Schizosaccharomyces pombe: one gene and its partners. The main gene of each other region encodes a partner of the protein of the gene in region 2 in a complex. Each region holds a gene or a part of one and is shown on either strand. Other genes may lie near its edges.

What was found.
Region 1: mge1 (region 2) and tim16 share a complex: the UniProt entries of both Schizosaccharomyces pombe proteins name them as parts of the PAM complex.
Region 3: mge1 (region 2) and tim14 share a complex: the UniProt entries of both Schizosaccharomyces pombe proteins name them as parts of the PAM complex.

What each region holds. Positions count from the first base shown.
Region 1 is NC_003423.3:884,680-888,197, reverse strand, and holds tim16 (TIM23 translocase complex subunit Tim16), read right to left. Parts: upstream 1,706-3,518; 5' UTR 1,583-1,705; coding exon 1,534-1,582; exon of another isoform or gene 1,469-1,533; coding exon 1,131-1,468; 3' UTR 551-1,130; downstream 1-550. Other genes in the region: plasma membrane proteolipid Pmp3, read left to right, coding at 56-199; SPOM_SPBC713.09 (uncharacterized protein), read right to left, coding at 2,011-3,156, 3,198-3,239. UniProt on the Schizosaccharomyces pombe protein: Essential component of the PAM complex, a complex required for the translocation of transit peptide-containing proteins from the inner membrane into the mitochondrial matrix in an ATP-dependent manner.
Region 2 is NC_003423.3:4,020,540-4,024,351, reverse strand, and holds mge1 (GrpE domain-containing chaperone mge1), read right to left. Parts: upstream 1,836-3,812; 5' UTR 1,806-1,835; coding exon 1,134-1,805; 3' UTR 580-1,133; downstream 1-579. Other genes in the region: vma7 (V-type ATPase V1 subunit F), read left to right, coding at 2,730-2,865, 2,924-3,150; Fe-sulfur protein Isa2, read right to left, coding at 3,357-3,528, 3,598-3,812. UniProt on the Schizosaccharomyces pombe protein: Essential component of the PAM complex, a complex required for the translocation of transit peptide-containing proteins from the inner membrane into the mitochondrial matrix in an ATP-dependent manner.
Region 3 is NC_003424.3:1,693,489-1,697,140, reverse strand, and holds tim14 (TIM23 translocase complex subunit Tim14), read right to left. Parts: upstream 2,126-3,652; 5' UTR 2,040-2,125; coding exon 2,037-2,039; intron 2,010-2,036; exon of another isoform or gene 1,990-2,009; coding exon 1,942-1,989; exon of another isoform or gene 1,889-1,941; coding exon 1,517-1,888; 3' UTR 657-1,516; downstream 1-656. Other genes in the region: hydroxyacylglutathione hydrolase Glo2, read right to left, coding at 1-309, 452-570; HOPS complex subunit Vps16, read right to left, coding at 2,420-3,652. UniProt on the Schizosaccharomyces pombe protein: Essential component of the PAM complex, a complex required for the translocation of transit peptide-containing proteins from the inner membrane into the mitochondrial matrix in an ATP-dependent manner.

The DNA of each region.
Region 1 (3,518 bases), 3.1 Mb from region 2:
TATTATAAAAAAAAAATTTCGCTTCTTTTTGACTCAATGCTAATATATGACACAGGTAATTTTCGCCATTATTCTCCCTCCCTTGGGCGTTTTCTTGGAACGTGGCTGTGGTGCTGACGTTATTATCAACATTCTTCTTTGTTGTCTTGGTTACGTTCCCGGTATTATTCACGCTCTCTATATCATCTTAAAATACTAAGCATCCCTCTATTTCAATCCTCTAATATTTGTTCTTTTCGCTACTTATCATGTTTATAAAGGAAAGTGAAATAGACATGTGTATTCTTTGCTTCTTCTCTTGTCTGTTCTAGGAATTTATTATTCGCTTCATTTAATACCAAATGTTGTGAGGATATCATGGCTTTTGTATTAGTAAACAAAAAAACGGATTTTCTTTACTAAGAAAAAAGTTCAAAATAGTATCACGGTTGTTTGCACTCATTTTTTTTTCCTTTCCCAAAATCGACTGTGCTTAACCATGATATCTTTTTTTATCCATAATTGGGCGAATGATTTTACCGTATACTTTTTGCTATAGCCCAATAGTCTTCTTGTTTTACATAAAAGAATGTTTTATCATTTGCTCAACTGGAACTTATATTCTTTAAATATATTAGTTTAACGGTTCTTTTTTTTGTGTCTTATTCATTATTTGTAACCAAAATGTATTTCAATAGTAGTGTGTAATGATTGATATCTGGGAATAGATTAGATTATTGATCTCTTCATGGTGCCCGCAGCCCAGTCTAACTTTAAGGATTGGCCAGCGACAGTTAAAAGTCGAAAAGTAAGTTTTGGCTTAACCTCAGGCTCTCGTTTGAAGTCAATCCATATCAATGTACATCTCTCATCACATTGACAATATATGGCTCTGGTTTAACGGCATTGAGGGTATGTGGATAGCTAGACTAGTGTTAATTTTCCTTTTATCATAGTACAGGGCATATTCAAAAAAATATGAGGATATCAACCTCCTCACATTTCTTCAACTATTCGTAAACAAAAATATATCCCATTGCTTCTTTTTTTCTTAAAAAAAAAAAAAAGATAGATTCCATTTTACATTAAATTAAGGTAGACGTGTCGGTAAATACGTAGCAATAGCTAGCAACCCAAAATCAAAGAAAGTTTTAAGGTGAACTGGTTGGTTTCGCTGGGGATTGTTCTTGTATTTTTTGATCCAGTTCACTTTTCAATTTTTCATGAGCTCGGAACACTTTGCTCTGGAGGTAAAAAGATCCTCCTTTTTTAGGATCATTAATCTCAAACATTTTTTGAAATCGTTTTTCTAACTCTCCTTCTTCTAATGATTCTGGCTTAATGTTTAAAATGCTACCAGCTTCTTGAATAGTCATTTCACCTCGACGAACAGCAGTTGATGATTTGGAAGCAGCAGCTTGACCAGTACTTTGTTGAGCTGCATTAGCAATCATTTGCTTATAAGCTTGTACAAAAGCTTTGCTCATTACTAATATTGTTAGGGTTTTTAATCTTTTGAATAAATCCTTGATAGGAGAATGGCCACAAACATACCTTGCGAACCAACAATTATAAATCGACCGACAGCCCTTGGAAGCGACATTTTTTAATGTAATATAGTAATTTTGAACAAATAATTATGATAAATGTCTTCCTTTATTTTATTTTCAGACATACACATGCCCTAAACAGGAATTTTCACAAATTTTCTTGTAAAAAGGGTGGTGGTAAAAATTCCTTATAAGGCAGATTTCATATCAAAGAATCTAATACTACTTCCAAATTACAACCTTGATTTAATAATAAGAAGCATAAAGTTCACTATTTTAGACAAAAAAATATTAATATATTATGAATTTGCTTTATATTCTTTACTTTGTTTTACTACTCGTCACAATTCAAAGATCATGTAAACTGATTGTAAATTCAAATCATCTTATTCATTAGGGCTTCTTATACTCGCTGAAACAGTATGGTAATGGAGCTTAAACATAGTGACTTAATAATAAATATCATATTAAAGCTTTAACTTCATACTGAAAAAGGAATGCCGTGAGCACCGGGAAATCCAGTCAATGTCAAGTCAATTGAAACGTTATCGATTACCTCAAAGTTAGTAGGATCTGGAAAAAGTTTCTCGGTCACGGAGCCAGGCTGTTCAAAATGCATCGCTTCAAGTTCCTTCAGCCTTCTTTGACATTCCGCAAACTCAACCATCGCTAGTTTATAACGTTCAACAGCTTCTTCCAAAAGTTGCTTTTCTAAAGCAATGTCCGAAACCTTTTTTTCCAATGAGTTGATCAACTCCTTTTGTTCATGAGTTTGGTTAGCAGTTTTAGAGCCTTCAGAGCTTTGTTCTTTATTTTGCTTTATCGCGGATTTTTCACGCTCCTCAAACTCCTTGAAACGATTATTGAAATTCTCGTTAGCTTCACTGAGTTTCGTGGCACGTTCATTTAAACTTTTCTCATGTTCTTCAACCTTTAATAGACGATTTTCAAGGTCCTTTTCACGTTTTTTAAGATCATCTTCTTTTCCATTCATCTTCAGTTCTCTTTTATTAATCTCATTCTCTCTGATTAACAGTTTTGACTGGAATTCCTCAAGAGCGGCTTCTCTTTTGGATACGAGTGTCTGCTTTCCTTCACTGTCATCCGCATTAGCTTTTAATGTTTCATAATCATAAGTTAAGTCGTTAATGCGTTCTTTTAATTCTTTGATTTTCTTATCCTTTTGTTCATTAAGATCATGCAGGGTTTTTACTTGTTTTTCTAGTTCATCTTTTTCTTGACTGCTTGTACTTCGAGAAGTGACCTCTGTTTCAACGTTCTTTTTTATTTCACCATCAGGCTTGGCTGCTTTATCCTCACTTTCTATTACCGCTAAATCCTCCTTCTCAGGCTTCTCCGCAACCGACTCATCTACAGAATTTTTAACGACATTTTCAGATGTTTCCGGAGACTGAGTAGAAGCATCGCCGGTGGATGCCTCAGCACCTTCAGCTGAAACTACATTCGAAGCAGAAATATCCTCAGTGTTTTCAACTACTTGAGTATTGTCATTGCCTGTAGGCTCATTTACTTGATTATTGCCATCATTAGATTCGCGGTCAACATTATCTTCGGCAACTGAATTTTTAGATTTAGCTTGGCGTTTTTTCTTCTTGACCTCCAGCAACTAGCACTCGTAAGTTAAATGTTACAAAATATTATGCATACCCTTTGTTTAGCTGCAGCTAGCTTTTCTTCACGATCTGACATCTTCAAATTTGATACAAGATGAAAATAAATCAACAGGGAGTTGTAGTGTGGGCAGAATCAGTAAAGTATAGGTAAGTAGGGAAAGTTTGCGTGAGGCTTAACAAGTCCACGGATAACCAAGCATACTAAATAAAGTAGAAACATAAATATAATATATATTTGATGAATGAAAAACTTAAAAAAATGGATTCATATTTTTTATACGCTAGAGAGTATAGGTATATTTTATTACGCTGATTCGGTTTGAAAATGAAGGAAGATACTCTCCAAAGTTAATGC
Region 2 (3,812 bases):
CCCCTTTTTTTATCTTTCCTGTTATTGAAAACTCTATAGAAGGAAAGAAAGCAAAACGTGTTGCCAAGCAACACTTATTGTGTAAGGGTAAATTTTACACCACGTTCGAGTAGTATGCAAGGCACCATTTCTTGATCTAAATAAAGACGTAAACCCTTGCGGTAGTGTATCGCTAAGAAGTGAGTTTATTTAGTAATAGTGTAATTACTGAGCTGGAAAAAATGAATATATCTCTCGAATATGCAATTCTGACGATATCAGTGCTGGATTAAAAACTATTCATTGACTAGATTCTTAATAAAGTTAAAAGCAACGGGATCACCCACAAACGATCTCATGCTTATCATTTGTAACTTTGAATATCTATCTATTAGATTAGGCTGATTGAGTAATGTCTTATACTATGGCTTAGTTCGAACAGGCTAGCTGCTTCCAATCAATACTTTATTAGCAAGTTTGTTATTACATATCTATTTTATAAAAAACAAAAAAATCATCTAAACTAGTCAAAATTCCTTACTAATTTGTAATACAGAACACTAGCTTAACTTCTACGAATACTTGAAAAGGAGGCTTAACCGTTAAAGCACATATCAACTTTCGGAACTTTAATATTCTATAAAACTAAATGATAGAATACATACCTTCCACTTGGTTCCACTTTTAACTCTTAAAGAAATGCTTTTGAGTAATCTTTAGAAGGAAATATCAAAATTCTTTAACCAGTTTGGGTGAAAGCTATAGTATTAAAGAGTAAAAATTTTATTTATAAATGTAAGTAAAAATAGGTACTATGTTGTGATAGCAAATCACTAAACAATAAACCCAAACCACACAAAAACATTGGATTCAAGTCCCCTCGGTAAAAATATAATAATGTACCCATAGCCCAAAAAATGCAATGAAACTTTTTACGATCTGTCTTTGACTATTAGTTTGCAGAAAAAAGCATCTGCACAGAAAGACTTCTGGTTCCCCTGAAAAGACTGAAAAAATCCAATAATACCACAAAGGACTTTCCAGACAAACATTGAGAGTTTAAAAATAAAAAAAAACCCCGAATTGGTCATTAAAATAATATAGGTGAAACGACGTATTCGTATGCTCCTTGCTATCATCTTTGACTAGCTCCTCTAGTCGTCTCCCTTAACAACACCAACCTTGGCAGGACGAATAACTCTTCCATTCAATTGAAAACCCTTGCTTTCGCAATGGAAGACAGTGTTGGGCTTTTTACCTTCAACAGGGATTTGGAAAACAGCTTCATGGATGTTAGGATCAAAATCTTCTCCGATACCGTCATAGCGAACTAAACCATATTTTCCTAAGGTTTTCATTAAGTTCGATTCAGTCATTGCTAAACCTTCATAAAGATCAACTAAATCCTTGTTGGACTCACGATTGTTACGCTTCTCCTCTGGAACAATTGAAAGAGCACGCTCCAAATTATCGACAGAATCCAAAAGATCCTTAGTAAGCTTTTGAACAGCAAATGCACGTGTTTGCTCCATGTCTCTCTTCATGCGGTTTTCCAAATTACGATAGTCAGCTAAGCTTTGGCGAATGCTACCCTTTAACTCCGCAACCTCTTTGTCCTTTGCTTCATATTTACTTTTAAGCTCAGAAAGCTTAGATTGAAGTTCCTTAACATCAACATTCTCTGTTTCGGCAACTTTTTCTTCAGCAGGCTTTTCTTCCTTAGCAGCCTCAGTTGAGTACCAAAGGAAACTGCGTTTATTAATGGGTGCTCGAATAAGCGTCCGAGGACGTACAGCGGATGAAAATACTCTTCCAAGCCCAAGCATTGTTTCAGTGAGAGCTTTGTGGTAAAAGACAACTGTGTCACACTATAGACAAATGGTGTTGTGAACTTAGCACTGTTAAATTTTACAAATATCAATTTCATCAACTTAAAAATTCGTTATGTTTCGTTAAATGAGGTATGGACTTTGAGATGGAAGCTGATTCAAAAAATATATAAATGACACTTTTTTCTCAAATTAAAGCTTCTATTTCGATATGTAACAAATTGATTGTAGGTTTGAACATGCATGTAGGAAAGCAACCCAAATTTCGAATTTGCTCAACACTGGAAGCCAACAACGGCTCATATGCTTATCAATTATTAATTTATTCTTTTCAGCTTCATTCTCAACAGATAATAATTAACTGATTTCTCATCTATATTTATATCCTTCTTGGTATGCTTTACGGCATTGGATTATATCGAAGTACTTACTTCGCAGCCTTTGAAAGTAAAATAATTGAATATTATAATTTAAGTTTTAAAATAATCCTATTTGTGTCATCTGGGCCATCTTATTATTTTTACATTCATCAGTTTATTTGCATAATGATATTTGTTGAACAATTTATGGGAGTCGAATTTTCACAAATTCCTATTATAATAATATCATATTCTTAATTACAGAAGTCTTCATAATAAAAGGTACCTTAGTTAAGTGTCAGATATGTCTTATCGGTATTGGACCTTACACTTTCATCCACCATCACTACTTAAACTCAGGAATACATTTGAGGATTGTAGAGGCAGAGCCATAGCTTTCTGTTAAATATTTATCTAAGCTTTGTGAAAATTTACGATTCAACCACTGAACACTTTTAATCGCCTACTAGTCCAGAAGTTGCGCTTTCAAGTAGCACCATACTCTCCTATTTTCCTGCTTGGACGTTTACCTAGATTTTCTAAATACTTATCTCTCTAAATCATGTCTTCACAATCATATCGAGAACGGACACTTGTTTCTGTAATTGGAGACGATGATACCGTTACTGGGATGCTTTTAGCTGGAACTGGTCAGGTAAATGAAAACGGTGACAAAAACTTTTTTATAATTACTCAGAGTAAGATTATCTGTTAAAAAATGGAATCGTGTTTTCGCTAACTTGCTGTTTTATGTAGAGACTACAGATGAGCAGATTGCTGAAGCTTTTGATGATTATACTACGAAAAGGAAGGATATTGCGATTGTATTGATTAACCAGTTTGCCGCTGAAAGAATACGTGATCGTATTGAAAACCATGTGCAGGCATTCCCTGCTGTATTGGAAATTCCTAGCAAAGACGATCCTTATGATCCTGAAAAGGACAGTATCCTCCGTCGTGTTAGAAAGATCATTGGAGAATAGACTATTAATATTTAATTATATTTTTTGAGCAATAATTTCAATTAGTCAACAACTCGATCGATTTGACTGATGACACTTTTATATTTGTATCTTTTGGTTTACTTACTGGCATACTAGCAAAAAATTGTAAGCAGAGTTTTTGTTAAACTATATTTGATAAATAGAAAAGTGATTATAAGAGAAATGTATTATTTTAAGTATAAATCTCATTCAACATCAAAACTGACATTACAACCACAAGAAGTCTTGGCACGTGGATTGTTTAAAAGTTGAAAAGAGGAACCAATAAGTTCATTTGTATACTCAATTTCAGAGCCACTTATCAAAGGTAATGAAATGTTGTCAGCAACAACCCTGGCTTTTCCACGCACAAATACCCTAGATATTTAGTCAATAACCAGGAAATACTTAATTAAAACTTATAGTCTTCTTAACCACATCACTTACGTGTCAGCATTTCCAATTTTGTTGTCCATGCGAAAAGATACTTGATATCCATGGCATCCACCACCATCGACAGTGACGCGCAAAACAGAGTTTTCTTCTGGTTTCCTTTCTGCAATTTTTTCTAACTGTTTTTTCGCTGAATCTTTCACGTATAAAATAAAAGGGATTCCCTTCTCGTCACATTGCTCTTGAAGCGTGAATTGGTCGTTCGCAAG
Region 3 (3,652 bases), on a different chromosome or scaffold from region 2:
GTAAAAAGAGTATCTCCAGTAAACACGGCTCTTTTTGAAGGAGAGGAAACGTAATAACAAATACTGTCTTGGGTATGGCATGGCGTATGAAGAGCCTCAACTTGAACTTCTCCAACCTTGAAAATCTCCTTATCTTTGGGAGTGTATGTGACACCAGATGCATTTTTTCCGCCATAGACCTTTAAAGAAGGAAAGTAGCTCAAAATGTCTTCGTTGCCGCCTGCATGATCATAGTGATGATGAGTGGTCAGAATGTACTGCAAATCAATTTCTTTCTTCGCCGTTTTCTCTTTTATGACAGGAATAACACTAGAGTTTGTCAATGTTAGTTTGGTTAATTAAATGTTACGGAGCGCACAAACAAAACAATTCGGAAAACAGGAGGAGAAAATCATGTTTCCGAAATCACAGATAACAGTATTTAAGTCGTTATTTCATTCTCTTCACTTACCTCTCAGGCTCAGCAGGGTCGACGATGGCAGTGATTTTGGTTTTATCACAAGTCAGCAAATAGGCATAGTTGTTGCCCGTTCCTTTCCACATCCATATGGGCGTAATATGAAAAGACATCGCGTTTCTTATTATCTTATGCACTTTAAAAAAAAATGAATATACTAAACTTCCTACTCTACTAAGAAACAAAATCTTAGAGAACGTATTTGTTTAAGTCAAAAAAAATTTGACAGTACGCACTTATATACGGTAACGTCAGAGTGATATGTAAAGGCAGCTTCTGTGTTAATAATCATTGTTAGAAGCGAAATTTCGATGTTTATTAATCAATTCATTTTTTTTAATTATGATTATGAAATAAATTTTTAAATAAACATACTTCATATAAACTGTTACTGAAGTAGGTTTTAACAATGTCATTCAAAGCGCAAAAGTCAAAAACTAAAATCATTTCAAAGAGTATACATTTTGTAAGGAATGATATTGTTTACGACTAAGGAAATCAAATGCTCGAATTCTTCTTTTAACTTATCCTTGTTGTGAATTGATACTCGGAATGCATGGAAAAGAACCTGACAATTTTCCATTGAAAACGTTTTGGAAAGTAAGTGTCCGGAAACATATGAGAGACTCAAATTTAATCTAAAAAAGAGTTAAACTATTAACACTCGGTACAACCATCAAAAAGGAGACAAAATCATTGACGCTCGAAATCAAATTACTAAATAGCTCCAGCGTAGAGAAAGAAAAAAAAATACAATTTCGGGGTTTCCTTCGCATTTTCCGAAAAAGGATTGATATAAGAGTACGAAAAGAATCGAAGGCGATGTACTATACGGAGCAAACACACATCTTTAGAAGCAAAAAATAAAATAAATTGACAAAAGGTGTCTGCAACTGAATAGTAAAAGTTTTTTGGAAAAGCAAACAATAATTCACACAATGATTAGTTCTATTAAGGGCATCATAGCTTTCAGCTAAATTTTAGCAAGAAAACATTAGTTCTCCAGCAGATACAGCACATAATAATATTAACAACGATGCAGACCATTATTCATCACTTTTAAGCTTTCGGTATGGAGCTGTATTCAAGCCATTTCACCGCTTCAAGAACACTAGGCATTGATCGCTGCTTAGAAACAGGGAGTGCCCATGAACTAAATTTTCGGATTGATCGATCTGCATCCAAAAGTGACTTGGCCTCGTTTACCTTGCTGGCTACATAAGGGCTACCACCCCGATCTGGATGATTTGCAAGCATCAACCTTCTGTGAGCCTCTTTTATTTTTTGTCGAGTTAAAGTACGGTTGTTCAATGACAGAATTTGAATGGCTTCTGCCCTAGACATTTTTGACTCAAAACCACCCTTGAGAAAGGCCTTTACTCCGCCATTCAAATTCCGGTATTTTCTGAATGCGTCAACACCAATTTTCCCCTAAAGTCATTAGCATTTCAAATGTCAAGCTTTTATTTTCTGTTTTCACATACTGCCGCAGCCGTTGCAGCGATACCGACTCCAAGGAGAATAGCAGACGACTAATCAAAAATAAGTTAGTTAGTGAGGCAAAAAAAAAATCTCATACCATTTGTTATATCTCAAAACTTATTTAATGTGAAAGAAGTAACCAAAAATATATATATTCTCCTCAATTCCCAATACCTTGAGGATAGTGGAGGAAGAAAGCTGGTTCTCCTTGTATATGCTTAAGTTGCCAATAAATAACAACTTTTAATCCTACTAATAAAAATCTGCATTACATAAAATTCAGGGTTTTATATTTCTTGTAAAATAATTTGTTAAAATTAATATAAACTAGCTCACAAAAAAAACTAACTATTTTACGGTAAATATCCAAATTATTCTAAATTCAATTGGGTTGCTTTTCATTCATGGATTCTTGTCATTAATATTTATATCTTTTTTTTTATCCTAAAAAAAAAAGATTGGTATTGATATCTCTAATAGTCATCGGCGTAATTGATCAAGTGCATTCTGAACAAACCGACTTTCGGGCATGGTCTGCACCCTTTCTAAAAGATCACCAAGAACACTCCCGCTTTTTGATTTGGCTGCTTCTTCGCTAGCACTTTTCACGTCCCCAACTTGAACCCACATATCCACTTTTTCTTGTGTAGTAAGCTGAGTACATCGTGGTATGTATTTAGCAGCCTCTTTTTTATTTCCGGCACTAAGGATTTCTGTAACAAAAGGCTCAAAACCAATTGGCGATCTTCGCATAGAGCCTGCCCATTGTTCAATCTGAACCCAATCACGGATGGCTACCAAAGCTCTTAATTTCAGCCAAGCAAATCTCTTCTCAGGAATCTGAAAGTCAGACCTCAATTTGTTTGCTCTTTGTGTTTGATTAATTTGAATCAATTTAACAACAACCTCATTTACTGTTAGCCCAACAAAATTACCAGTGAATTGATCCTCGTAAGTTTGTTGTAATTGTAATAATTTTATTTCATCTCCCAAACATTTTTCTTCAAGTGATAGTTCCTTGGATTCTGAACAAACTTTAGCTGCTGATTTTAAAGAGGTAATGCGCTGATTGACTGTCGCAGTTTTTAAAGTATCTTCTACCGCTAAAACAGCGATTCCTTGTTTGTTATCGTCCTGGTAAAAGAAGTCGTGTAAAGTTTTTCTATCATTCTTTTTGGCAAATTCAACGTAAACCTTAACTGCATCAGGATACTCATTTAAAATTTGAAAGAAAGACGCTATTGCCATTTGTTGTTTGATTTGAAGCACAACGTAAATAATCAGGTTATTGTCCATAGTTTCTATTACCTTTTTTAAAGCTTGCTCATATGCTTCCATGTTTAACAATAGCATTACTTGATGCTTAGCTAAAGGCTCGAAATCCAAGAGCTTTGTTGAAAGAATTAGTCGACCTTCTTGATAAGCTGTGCGAGCAATTTTCTCATATGATATGTATTTTCTGGACGAAAGTCGTTTAACAATATTATCCAATACAACCTCCTCTGGTTCACTAGATTGCTTTATGTACGTCTGAGCCCATTGTATGTAGACCCAATCACACGGAATCTGCATCCACATAGATGCCTGAACAGCGAGGCCATATAATTGTCTACACGAAAATCGTTGGATTAGCCTTTCTAAACCTAGATGCAAGTATTCTTCATGAGTAATGTAAATCCCAACATTGGGGTCTCTAGCAGCATTCAAAACTCT